Linked DNA regions of Caenorhabditis elegans. The protein of the gene in region 2 interacts with the protein of the main gene of each other region in a pairwise test. Each region holds a gene or a part of one and is shown on either strand. Other genes may lie near its edges.

What was found. Proteins that work in one complex are often made in the same cells at the same time.
Region 1: the proteins of npp-19 (region 2) and dlat-1 interact in a two-hybrid assay, tested with the Caenorhabditis elegans proteins (one large-scale study listed by BioGRID).

What each region holds. Positions count from the first base shown.
Region 1 is NC_003283.11:14,444,185-14,450,279, forward strand, and holds dlat-1 (Dihydrolipoyllysine-residue acetyltransferase component of pyruvate dehydrogenase complex, mitochondrial), read right to left. Parts: upstream 3,107-6,095; 5' UTR 3,104-3,106; coding exon 2,890-3,103; intron 2,831-2,889; coding exon 2,104-2,830; intron 2,037-2,103; coding exon 1,584-2,036; intron 1,535-1,583; coding exon 1,405-1,534; 3' UTR 1,139-1,404; downstream 1-1,138. Other genes in the region: F23B12.4 (ShKT domain-containing protein), read left to right, coding at 481-556, 604-640, 695-845, 893-1,017; fntb-1 (Protein farnesyltransferase subunit beta), read left to right, coding at 3,558-3,644, 3,694-3,852, 3,899-4,210, 4,435-4,631, 4,766-5,034, 5,078-5,259; F23B12.7 (uncharacterized protein), read left to right, coding at 5,530-5,643, 5,696-6,095. UniProt on the Caenorhabditis elegans protein: The pyruvate dehydrogenase complex catalyzes the overall conversion of pyruvate to acetyl-CoA and CO(2).
Region 2 is NC_003280.10:10,795,364-10,801,108, forward strand, and holds npp-19 (Nucleoporin NUP35), read right to left. Parts: upstream 3,117-5,745; 5' UTR 3,114-3,116; coding exon 3,040-3,113; intron 2,974-3,039; coding exon 2,900-2,973; intron 2,851-2,899; coding exon 2,578-2,850; intron 2,528-2,577; coding exon 2,136-2,527; intron 2,086-2,135; coding exon 1,901-2,085; intron 1,722-1,900; coding exon 1,655-1,721; intron 1,612-1,654; coding exon 1,531-1,611; 3' UTR 1,290-1,530; downstream 1-1,289. Other genes in the region: set-14 (SET domain-containing protein 14), read right to left, coding at 1-109, 306-667, 722-925.

The DNA of each region.
Region 1 (6,095 bases), on a different chromosome or scaffold from region 2:
TTTTACTATTTTCTCCCTTCTGTATTTAAATTTTCAATTAATTTTATAAATGTTAAAACTATAAATTTCTTGAAAAATCATGAAAAACTCGCCAAATTTTGCAACAAAAAAAAACTAAATTCTTGGGTTACTGTAGCTGCGAAGGTTTGATAGTTTCGAGACCCGCTGGTGCATTATCTTTACGGCAAGGTATAATGTTTCAGTATTTATCTCAGTATTTTTTTTTTCAATTTCTGTTGTATTTGTATTCGTGGTAAGACCCATCGGAACAAATCTGTGTCCCTTTGAGAACGCGTTTCAGAAAATTTCGAAGCTACGATATTATTATTGAGTTGAATGAATGTGTTTTTTGAATTCTTGGAACATATTTTGAAAGCTCAGTTTTTGATTGATTTAGCATGTTGAGTGATGTCTGAGTTTTTCGGTTTCCGTGGTAGCGCGTTCATTTTCCTGTGTTCTAGTCCTAGTTGCCTTGTTCAGATGGCTTCCAACGTGGATCTTCTGGAGATGCTCAAGTGACTGCTGCACCGACAACACAAGCTACATTCACACAACAGTTCGTTTTTCACATATTGTAATGTCGGTAATATTGATTTTTTCCAGACCAACGTTCCAACAAACATTCCGACCAATTCCTGCGGTATTTTATATTTTCTTTTACTCTCTGATCTATATTATAATTGCAATTTTACAGCGTCCACGACAGCGAATTGTTGCTCAACAGCCACAATCTCCATTTAATCGTCAAAATGTGTTCATTTCAAGAAGACGTGGACAGAGTAACAGTTTTGCTGCTCAGCGGCAAAATGTATTCCAGCAGCCACAGCCGGCTTTCGGTGGCGGACGTATGTTTCTAGATCTAGGATATTGTCGAATCTTTTTGAATCTTCAGAATGCGCTGATCGTGATCCTCAAGGAAGATGCAGTCAGTGGCGTCAGTTCTGTGCTTCACCATCCCATCAGCAATACTTAACGGCGTTCTGCGCAAGAACATGCGGACTGTGTCGTCGTCATTGAATTCGTTTCTTGAAGCATATTGTTTCCTAGGGTCTCTCAACATTTTGCTCACTATTACTAAAGATCCGCTAGGCTTTTCCAAACACACTACGAGTTTCTGAAATTTCTGTATGACAGACAAAAATAATAAATCATTTTTTAAAGGAAACTTCTTCTAATAATTCACTTACACATACTACCGGAGAAATTAAACGATTAACTGGGAAACATGCCATGAAAAATGAGAAAAATAAAAGCGAAAATGGCTGTAGTGAAGAAAGAAAGAAATAATAAAATTATGACCTAGTTATACGCTATCACTTCGAGACTTTACGGAGTAAATTCGGGGGTCAAAATGGGTAGAGGAAGATGGTGAGATGAATTGGGAAACAATGAAAAAGCCATCGTTTAGAGAAGCATCGTGTGTGGCTTCTCGAGGAACTCCTTGAAGTGACGAAGCCAGACGGCTCCAACAGCTCCATCAACAGTCCTGTGATCGCATGACAATGTTACCTTCATAGTCTTAATCTTCTTATATCTGAAATACAAAAACTATATAACTCGATAAATTTCCTAAAAACTCTTACCCTTCAGCCTCGTCTGGGACCAGCTTATCAGATGCTCCTCCGATAGCCAAAATGCATGATTGTGGTGGGTTGATGATCGCGGTGAAATCAGATACAGATCCGAACATTCCGAGGTTCGAGACGGTGAAAGTACCTCCTTGGAACTCATGAGGCTGCAATTTTCCTTCGCGTGCTCTTTGCGCCAATTCTACAATTTCTGAGGCAATCGTGGCGAGTCCCTTAGCGTGAGCATTGAAGATAATTGGAGTAATAAGACCGGCTGGGGTGCTGACAGCTACAGAAACATCGACGTGATGATTCTCACGAATGAACGAGTCCATCCAATAGCTGTTGGCTTCTGGAACTCGTTGACATGCAAGAGCAGAAGCTTTGATGATAAAGTCATTGATTGAGATCTTAGTGGCTTGTCCCGATGTTCCCTTTGCAAGAAGACCGTTGAGCTTTTCACGAACCCTGAATAAGGGTAATTTTTGGAAAGGAAGACTCGGGTTTATTGTTTTAATAATTTAAGAAAACTCACTGAAGAAGTGTATCCAATTGAATTTCGCTGGTCAAATAATAATGTGGAATCGTTGATTTGCTTTCGGTGAGTCTCTTAGCAATTGTCTTACGCATGTTCGAAAGTGGAATATCGGTATAATCTTGACCAGATACGGCTTGAGTTGTGGTTGAAGTAGCGCCCTTTGCTGGAGCCTGGGAAAGATCCGAAGCGAGAATACGTCCTCCTGGTCCACTTCCAGAAACTCCGCTCAAGTCAAGGCCATTTTCAGCAGCAAGTTTCTTAGCGAACGGTGAAGCAGAAACTCTTCCCGATGATGAGTGTGGAATTGGTGCGGACTTTGGAACTGATGGTGCTTGATACATTTGTGCTGGGGGAGATGGTTGCGATGAAGCGGCTGGTTTTGCTGGCTCTGGAGCTTTCTCGGCTGCTGGAGCGGATCCACCAGATGAAGCACCATCGTCCTTGAAATCCTTGAAGGCAGCAACGTCAGCCTCGTTGTCGACGATAATACAGAGAAGCTTGCCAATTGGAACATCCTTCGATCCTTCCTGGATGAGAATCTTGGCAAGATATCCTTCTTCCGGAGTTTCGAATCCCATAGTGGCCTTATCGGTTTCAATCTCGCAGAGCAAATCTCCTTCACTAAGTTGATCTCCTTCTTTTTTCTGCCAGCTTACAACAGTTCCGAGTTCCATAGTTGGAGAAAGTGCTGGGAGAGCTACCCGATTGTGCTTTGGCAGATTTCCTGAAAAAAGGAATTAGTGGACAACCAGTTGGAAAATATAAATAGGAAAAAAGTCTCACCACTGCTATAAAGGCGAACTTGTTTAATACTGAAAGCTGCAGCATTTGGATATTGGCGAGCTACTTGTCCAACAAGTCCTGAGCTTTTGGCGGCAGCTCCGGTGCTGAGGGCCCGACTCGATTGTGTGAAACCGATGTTGGCGGCAGAAATAGCTGCTGTTGTCGAGGGACGAAGCCCACCAATCGTTCTCAACGGCACCGGGAACTTCGACATTACCTGAATATTTTTCAGTTTAAACAAAATTATACTTGTAAGAAAACGTAGAAATAAGATATTTAATACACATTTGCAAACAACAATAAAGAATATAAAATTGTAAAGTTATTAAATTTTAAATGGAATGAAAAGCTAATTTACAAGAAAACTTTATCATCTTTCTGCATACTCGCCTGATTTTCGTAGAGTTTTTGTTGCAATAACTGATTAAAAACTTTATCACAGACTGATAAAACGTCAGAATTCCTGATCAGAAAAGAGTGTTCAGAAAAATGAGAAAAGAAAAAATTAGACGGGGACAACGACACTCCGTTTTAAACACGCGCGCCTTGTTTATCACACCGATTTTTTTTTATTTTCGCGACGAAAAAAAATGTTTTTGATAGGTTTTCCCAAGAGAAGTGTGTTTTCTAATGTGTTCTTTTTGTAAAAATTGTATTTTATAACAGAGATGACATCTTCGATCCCATTCCGTTCGTTCAACGAGAAATATGAGTGTAACGACGATGATAATTTCACCTACTCAAGCACTGAACAGGTTTGTAACCCCGCCATGTAATTATCATGTACGATTATGAGTATTTCAGAAACGTATTGAAACAATGCTTTTCGAAAACTACAATTCACTGGTGTTAGAACCATTCAAGACCACAAGCGACGAAGATCTCGCCGAATTGACGATTTTCCGTCAGAAACATGCCTCGTATTTGCTCAGATATCTCAAAAACTGCCCGTCGAGCTACGCAGTAAGTTTGATTTGTGAGAAGTGGTTTTTAACATTACAATTTTTAGACCTTAGACGCTAGTCGTTCATGGATGTGCTACTGGGGAGTTAATGCACTTAAAATTTTGGACGCAGAAATTCCAAACGATGTTATCGAAAACATTATTGTTTTTCTTAAATCTTGTGAACATCCAGAAGGTGGCTATGGTGGAGGACCAGGACAATTGGCTCATTTGGCTCCAACGTATGCCGCTGTCATGTGCCTAGTGTCTCTACAAAAAGAAGAAGCTCTACGATCTATCAACAGAGTCACACTGTTCAATTTTTTGAAGAAGTGCAAGCATGAGAGCGGAGGATTTTATATGCACGAGGGAGGAGAGGTAATAATTTATTAATGAATATCTCTGGCAATGGTTCAAAAGCTCTAAATGTACTGAAACTCCTGCATAGACTTGATGAAGTCCTACTCAGAGTGAAACTTCTACGTACTCTTGCATAGAACTTTAGGATCCTTGCTGCACACTCTACGAATTGCCTCTAGTGTTGTTTTTTTTGCCAGAGATATCATAAAAATTCTGAGCTATCGAAAATTGAACATTTCCAGATCGATATGAGAAGCGCCTACTGTGCACTAGCAACATGCGAGATTGTGGGCCTACCTATGGATGAGATATCAAATGGTGTGGCCGAATGGATTATCAGCTGCCAGAGCTTTGAAGGTGGTTTCGGAGGAGAACCGTATACAGAGGCACACGGAGGATACACTTTCTGCGCGGTCGCCTCGTTGGTTCTGTTAAACAGGTCAGTTATTGTTATCTTTGAAAATGAGAAGAGACAGACCATCACGTGAACACCACATGTTCTTTCTTATAAAATCATATCAATTAAGTTAGTTCAGAATTTGAAATAAGATCATTGATCCTGATGATTTCCAGATTCCGTCTTGCTGATATGGAAGGTCTCCTTCGTTGGGCCACGCGCCGGCAGATGCGATTTGAGGGTGGTTTCCAGGGAAGAACAAATAAACTTGTTGATGGATGCTACAGCTTCTGGCAAGGTGCCATCTTCCCACTTTTGGACGGAGAAATGGAACGAGAAGGCCGATCATTGGAGAAAGGTCTTTTCGAGGCGCGAATGCTTGAAGAGTACATTCTTGTTGGATGCCAATCAGTACATGGAGGATTCAAGGATAAGCCGGACAAGCGTAAGATCCAGTTTTTATAACTAAAAATGACTTCAATTTTCAGCCGTCGACCTGTACCATACATGCTACGTTCTCTCAGGATTATCAGTTGCTCAGAAGTACTCTCTCGCTCGCGATGGGAAAATACTTGGTGGTGATGTTAACATGCTTGCTGAAATTAATCCAGTTTTCAACGTGACCATTGCTTCTGAACAATTTGCCAAGGAGTTCTTCACTTCTCATTGATCGTTCGATATGTATCCTTTCAATATGATTTCATTCGTTAATCTCGCTTCTTAAAGACGTCCCATATACGAGTTTCTTAATTCATATTTGCCTAAATTATGTTTTCCACCCGATTTTTTAAATATTTTTGTATAAAGTTGTAACAAAATTTTGTTTTCTGCTTCAAAAATTTCATAACAAGTTAACTTTCTCTAAGTATTTATTTTATGTCAATGTGCTATATTTATTAAACTGTATTTTTAAACAATTTAAGATTATTCATTGTCAGTAATGAAGCTGAAAAAACGTCCAATGAAGCTGGCGGCGAAACCAAAGCCGAAGCAGCCAACGGAGAAGCTGGGAAAAGCACAGAAGATGAAGCTGAAAGAAGATAATTTGGCTAGCGTGAGTGATTTTTTGTTTTTGAATTTTTAATTAATAAAATTATTCTTTACAGGCGGAAAAGATTATGGCTCAATTTGAGAGCGGTGCCGTGCACACGAACAAGAAGAAGCAAGCACAAAATGGAGCAGCCAAGCCGGTGGCCCATAAACCTGCGAACCCGGAAAACTCTAATCAGAAACGTCAATTCAAGAAAATTCTTGGACAAGATGGTATTCTAGTTAAACATCAAGAAGGAACCAAATGGTATAGCTATCAAATCGATCATGTTCATGATGAAAAGACCGAAAAAATGAATGCATCGGAGATTCAAAAGCTTCTTGAAGAGGGAAAGGATGAGATGGCTCAAGATGCAGCTCTGCTCCAGACGAAGGAGAAACAAGATAATGGATCTGAAGCTTCGTGGTTGTATTCAGTGATTTCAAAGGGAACAGCTACTGATAAGAGAACTGCAA
Region 2 (5,745 bases):
ATCTCTTCTCATATCTCTTGGCATTAGTTCGTCTATATAAGAATGACAAGCACCTTCCAGTGTTGAAGGAAGTTCACTTGAAACTGGAACCAGCATTGCGGTACGATTTCTGTAAAATTGGATTTTCATAGTTTCTCTCACGATTTGTTATGTTTTTTTATCGTTTTATAAAAGTTTAAAAAACATTAAATAACTATATTTTATACCTAGAAACTACGAAAAATTGAATTTAACCGAAACTTGTCGTGGCGAGACCGGCGCCGGTCGGCAAAAACCTAAAAATCTAAAAATTTCATGGCATTTACCTATAACAAACTCGAGTCAATGGTTTGCAGGAATGATTAGCTGCGCTCAGCTTAATGCACAATCCAACACCGATTGGATTTCCCGTGGAGTTTCCAACTACAAAACTATTTATCGAAACTTTTTGGAATATCAATTTGATCAAATCTCGATCTGGATGGGGAGCTATCGCAAATTGAAAGTATTCTTTTACAAAAGACTCTTCATCGGCGTCATATGATGATGGATGATGCTCGAGATTTTGAAAATTGCGAGCAACACCCGGAATATAGTAGGCTTCTATTTCTCCATCTTCGTTTCTGCTCAACTTTCCGGCAATTCTCATTACGAGTCGAATCGAGTCGTTCGCAACTTCATTATGAGTCTGAAATATGAAAATATTAGAAATAAATTGTAATATAACCATGAAATCTCCTACTTTAATAGCTTTACACTCCACTTTATGCAGCTTCCAGTCAGCTCTTTGACATTCTTGTGAGCAATAAGCAAGCCGTCGGCAGGCGCTGCACTTTTTGAGTTCTGCCATACTCGTAAGGCATTGATTACAATATGATTCGACTTGATCTCGTGCAAGAGCAAATGCGTACACATTTTCGTGGAGGGCGTCTGGGGGAAGATTCATTGGGAACTGAAAGAATTATTTGAATAATTTTTTTTTAACGGGTTTTTTAAAATTAAATTTTATAAAAAAAATTAAATTTAAAAAAAACTTCATCGATTGTAAATAATTTTCTGAAATTAAAAATTGAAGAAAATGAGAAAAATCGATAAAAGAATCTCTACAGTATTTTTAAAGGCACACACCCACACACAATTTTCAATGTCATTCGTGCCGAGACCATTCTGCAATAATGCGCCCTTCTTTAAACTCATAGAAGTGAATTTGTTTAATCGATGTTTTTCAGTCAATAAAGCCTCATTTTTTGAAAAAATATTTTTTTCGAGTATTAGCAACTCGTCTTCTATAATCGACAATATAAAAATATGAGTTTTCTTCATTTCAATTCATAGAATCAGTTTTGAATGGGAATGGAATGGACGGGAAGAAGGGAAGGAAAAATGTCCGAAAATTGAGAATACACCGAAATAAATAAAATTATTTTGAGAACGAAAAACCGTGAGAAACGAAACTGTTTTCAGAAATTCGAAAAAGAAGGATACACAACAAAAGAAAAAAATGGTGAAATAAAACAGAAAAATGGGCGATATTTCCAATGAGCAAAAAGATTAGTTGAGTCCGATCGTGTTCCAGAACTTGTTGAGCAATCCGTCAGGTGCCTTGCGAACCGATGGGGTTCCCTGTAAAATCTTTTTTAATTGGTTAGAAGGATTGAATCAATGAAATGCTTACGTTTGTTCTTTGATCGGCAGCCAATGGTCTCATTCCGACACCAGAACGGACGGAAATACGAGAAGAACTGAAAACATAAACAATTTTTTGTGGAAATATTAATTGAATTGTGAAAAATTAACTTTTTCTTTTTCACATTTTCAAAGTGGAGTAGCGCTAGACTACAAACTACAAACTTCGCTTTAGCAGATTCAAGTATAAAATTTAGATTTTTATGAATTTTTTACTAAAAATTTCTAATCATACTTGAGCGAGTTATTTGCATCAAAAACATTCGACGAGTTGAGCACACTGTTCTCATTGTGATTAACTGATTGATCGGCCATATCGTTCTCCACAAATGAGTTATACATGGAAGCAGATCGGTTTGCAGCTGCAGCAATGTTAGATGATCGAGCAACAATTCCGGATGCTGAGCCGTTGATCACGTCCTGTAAATTTTAAAATTAAAATAAAAAATAAATATATCCTTTTTACTTACCTTATTTGTGCACTGAACGACTCCAATAAATGTATCCTGATCGAGGAGAGTTCCGTTTCGAGAAATAGCTTGTTGAGCGTGTGTGACACACGAATAGCGCATATGTATGAAGTTTCCTTTTGATGGAGTCTGATGACTAACTACTTCCCCGTGCCGCGAGAATAAATTCAACAAAATCGACACTTGGCTTGGCTGAAATCCAAAAACAGTGACCCAGGTATCAGCTGCGTCGGCTTCTTCTTCCATTGGTTGTTCTTCTGCTTCAGCCAACCTGGATGTGACTCGTTGAGTGATTGGAGTGGAAAGTGGTGTTGATCTGGCAGTGAATGTATTTCGTCTGGAGATCTTTTTCGCTGGTTCAACTTTGTCGCGAAGAGATCGAAGAGGTGGTGCTGAAAATCAATTTTATTTTAAATATTCGCGAAAAAATGTAAATTCTAACCATGCATCGCTTGACCACCGAAAGATGATGTCTGAATCGACTGAGGAGCTGGCTTTGTCGGCGCCGAAAATGATGAATTTCCTCCGAAAGACAAGTTGGCAGGTGTATTCTGTGTTTGTGCCGCCGACTTTTCACCAGATTGCACCAAAGATGGAGACCAATGAACTGATTTAGAGCCCGGTGTATCCTTCAAATGCTGCGGCACTGCCGGTGCAGAAACAGCGAAAATATCCGAACATGGTGCCGATGCAGTGTTGAGCGGGCTAGCGGTGTCTAAATAATTATCATATTTTTGAGAAAACTTAAGATAAACTTTACTTACACGAAGATGGAACAGTTGCCTTTCGCTTTCCGAAAAGAAGTGCCGGCGTAGACTGTTCAACTGGTGTCCCGAAGCTAAAATTAGATTTTTAGTATTAAAAACTGGTTTTTTTTTTGCAAAATAAGAAACAAATTACTCACTTTGAAATACTAGAATTGTTGAGATCCATTGAGTTATGCCTTCCGGATGTATTTTGGTTAAGATGCGAGAACATGGCCTGAATTTCGAAATAAAATGCTTTTTAATTAAAAATTTAAGCAATAAACAAGTTTTTCAAATTTAAAATAAAGAAAGAATTGAAAAATACCGCTTTTTTAAAGTGGAAAACAGGTTCGAAAAGTTCCAAGAAAAAACATTTTTGTTTGAAAAATCAAAGTCCGCAACGACAAAACACGCAAAGCTACGCGCAATTGCGGACTTGAAAATGGAGGGAGTTTAAAATAGGGTTTTTGTGGTGAAAGTTTGCTGGGAGGTTTTCTGCGGGAAATAAAGAGAAAATTTTTTTTCTCTGATCGGATGTTTTGTAATTTTGATGAAGTCGATTTTCTGTTTGAACTTTGATTTTTTTTCTTCAACACTAGACACTGAAAAAAGTGAAATTCGTGTATGGGTTACTGTATAATACCGCCGACCCCTATAGTACATACCTATCCATAAAATATTGAATTCTAAAAAATTCTAGAAATTTAATTACACATTTCAGATGTTTTTGTTTTTATTTCCCTTTGACCTACTCCCTCGTCTAATTTTCGTTTTCAAATTTCAACGAGCACCACTCGTTTCTTCTCACTCCTCCTCGTTTTAATTGCAAAAAAAAACGGAGAAAATTGAGAAATGCACGACGACGGGGTCCCCCATTTAATTAAATTCCTTTTCTGTGTCGTCGACCTTTTTTTGTTGACCACACAGAGCACAACGTTCGGAGAGCTTCTTCCCGCCTCTTCATCAAATAAAATGAGAATTCATTCCTTTTTTGGGAAAGAAAAATGTTTCGTCGCGCACGACTATATAGCCCCCTGTGTCGTATAATATTTGCGGGTTGGTCAAAATGAGAAAGAAAAAAAACCAAAAGATGATGAATTGAATGAAAATTGTATTTAATATTAGTTTTCGGACCGAACCGGATGTAATTTATTTTCAGAAAATGTGGTTGGTTCTGACTGGAGCAGAAGTGGCGACCTGATGATGTAGTCAAACTTGCGCGTCAAATTTGGTGTTTTCGCCCCGCCTCTTAGAAGATGAGATTTTGATTTTTGAACTGAAACTTTCAAACTGTGATTCCCATAAAACCGTACGGAAATTACAATTTCCGTACTGTTACAAAACAAATTTTGGGATAGAGGGAATTATTACGTAGACGTCAAAATTGGGAAAATTTCGTAAAATCTTAGGTCTCGCCACGCCGAGTTACTGTAACTCGTCTCCATTTACGGGTAGCATAGTATCATAATTTTCAGATTTAATCGAAAATTGCTGTCAAGAATTTGAATATAATATTAAAAATGGCACAATATTGGTCCAGTTACAGTAACCCAATTTCAGCGTGGTGAGACCCGAAAACTTTCATCTTTAGACTACCACGTAATAACAGAAATTGAGAATAGAAAACGATGGTATTGGCCACACCCACATAACCGTGCGGAACTTGCAGATTTTGCAACCTCCGCAAGGTTCATTGAGCTCTCATTCTCATAACCGTGCGGAGGTTGCAAAATTTGCAATTTTCGCACACTCTTCTTCTCGTGGAGTACACATTCTCCGATTTCGAAATTTAAGAAAGTTTTTGGAGACGAGGTCACCTGGCAACGGGATCTATGAAGACTAGCGGAAGAACATTATAGCAACGATTCGTTTTTTTTTCGGCAATGTGTCCCAAGTGCATCCCTTTCCATCATTTTTCTTTTTTTATTCTACTCATCGTTCCATTCCACTTTCTTGTGTGTACGACAGCATTCATTCAATCCTAATTGGATGTGATCCTTCTGTGCCCCCCTCACTCACTCAACAAGTTGCTCTCGACGCTTCTTTTTCACATTTTTCTTCCTCTCTTCTTTCCTTTTAAAAGCACTCTACAGGATGTGTTGATGATGATGATGATGTTTTCTTTTTTCTCTATCTCTTCTCAATGCTTTTGAGATTTTTAATGAGTTCTAAAAATGGAAACGTGTGCAGCGCTAATAGAATTGAAAGCTCAACATTTTCATAATCACATTTTGTCTCAGGCCACCGAAATTAATATTAATTGTAAATTCTATATTTAAGACAAAGTTGCTCCTTTACAACACTATATACATTTCTCGGCCATTTCCATAATTATATTTCCCTTCGAATCAAAAGAAAAAAAACGGAATGAAAAAGAGCATTTTAAAATGAGATTTGCATCTTATTTATTAGTGGTCTCTGAGTTTTTATAATAAACGAGTCAATGGGGATTATACTACTGATGGAATGATCTGAATTTCTATGAAGCTGGGAGATCTCACTTGTCATTTGGAATGAGCATAGGTAAACGGAAACAGTTCGACGCCTACGTCATGCCTGCCTGCCTACACTCAAACCTTATGCCTATATATGTTTCTACACGCCTACTTCATACCTGCCTAACTATTCGCCTACTATATGCTTCTCGCCTGACTTGCCTAGATCATGCCAACCTAAGTACCTATCCTACCTACCTACCTACTTGCCCACCGCATGCCTACCTGTATGCGTACTTACTTGCCTACATTCCTTTCATGCCTACCTACGTGCCTATACGCCTATTTTGGACCTTGCCGGCTTGTTTGTTATCTGTCTGCTTCATGCCTGTCTACCTACGTACGAATAAAATATAAGAAAATGTTTCC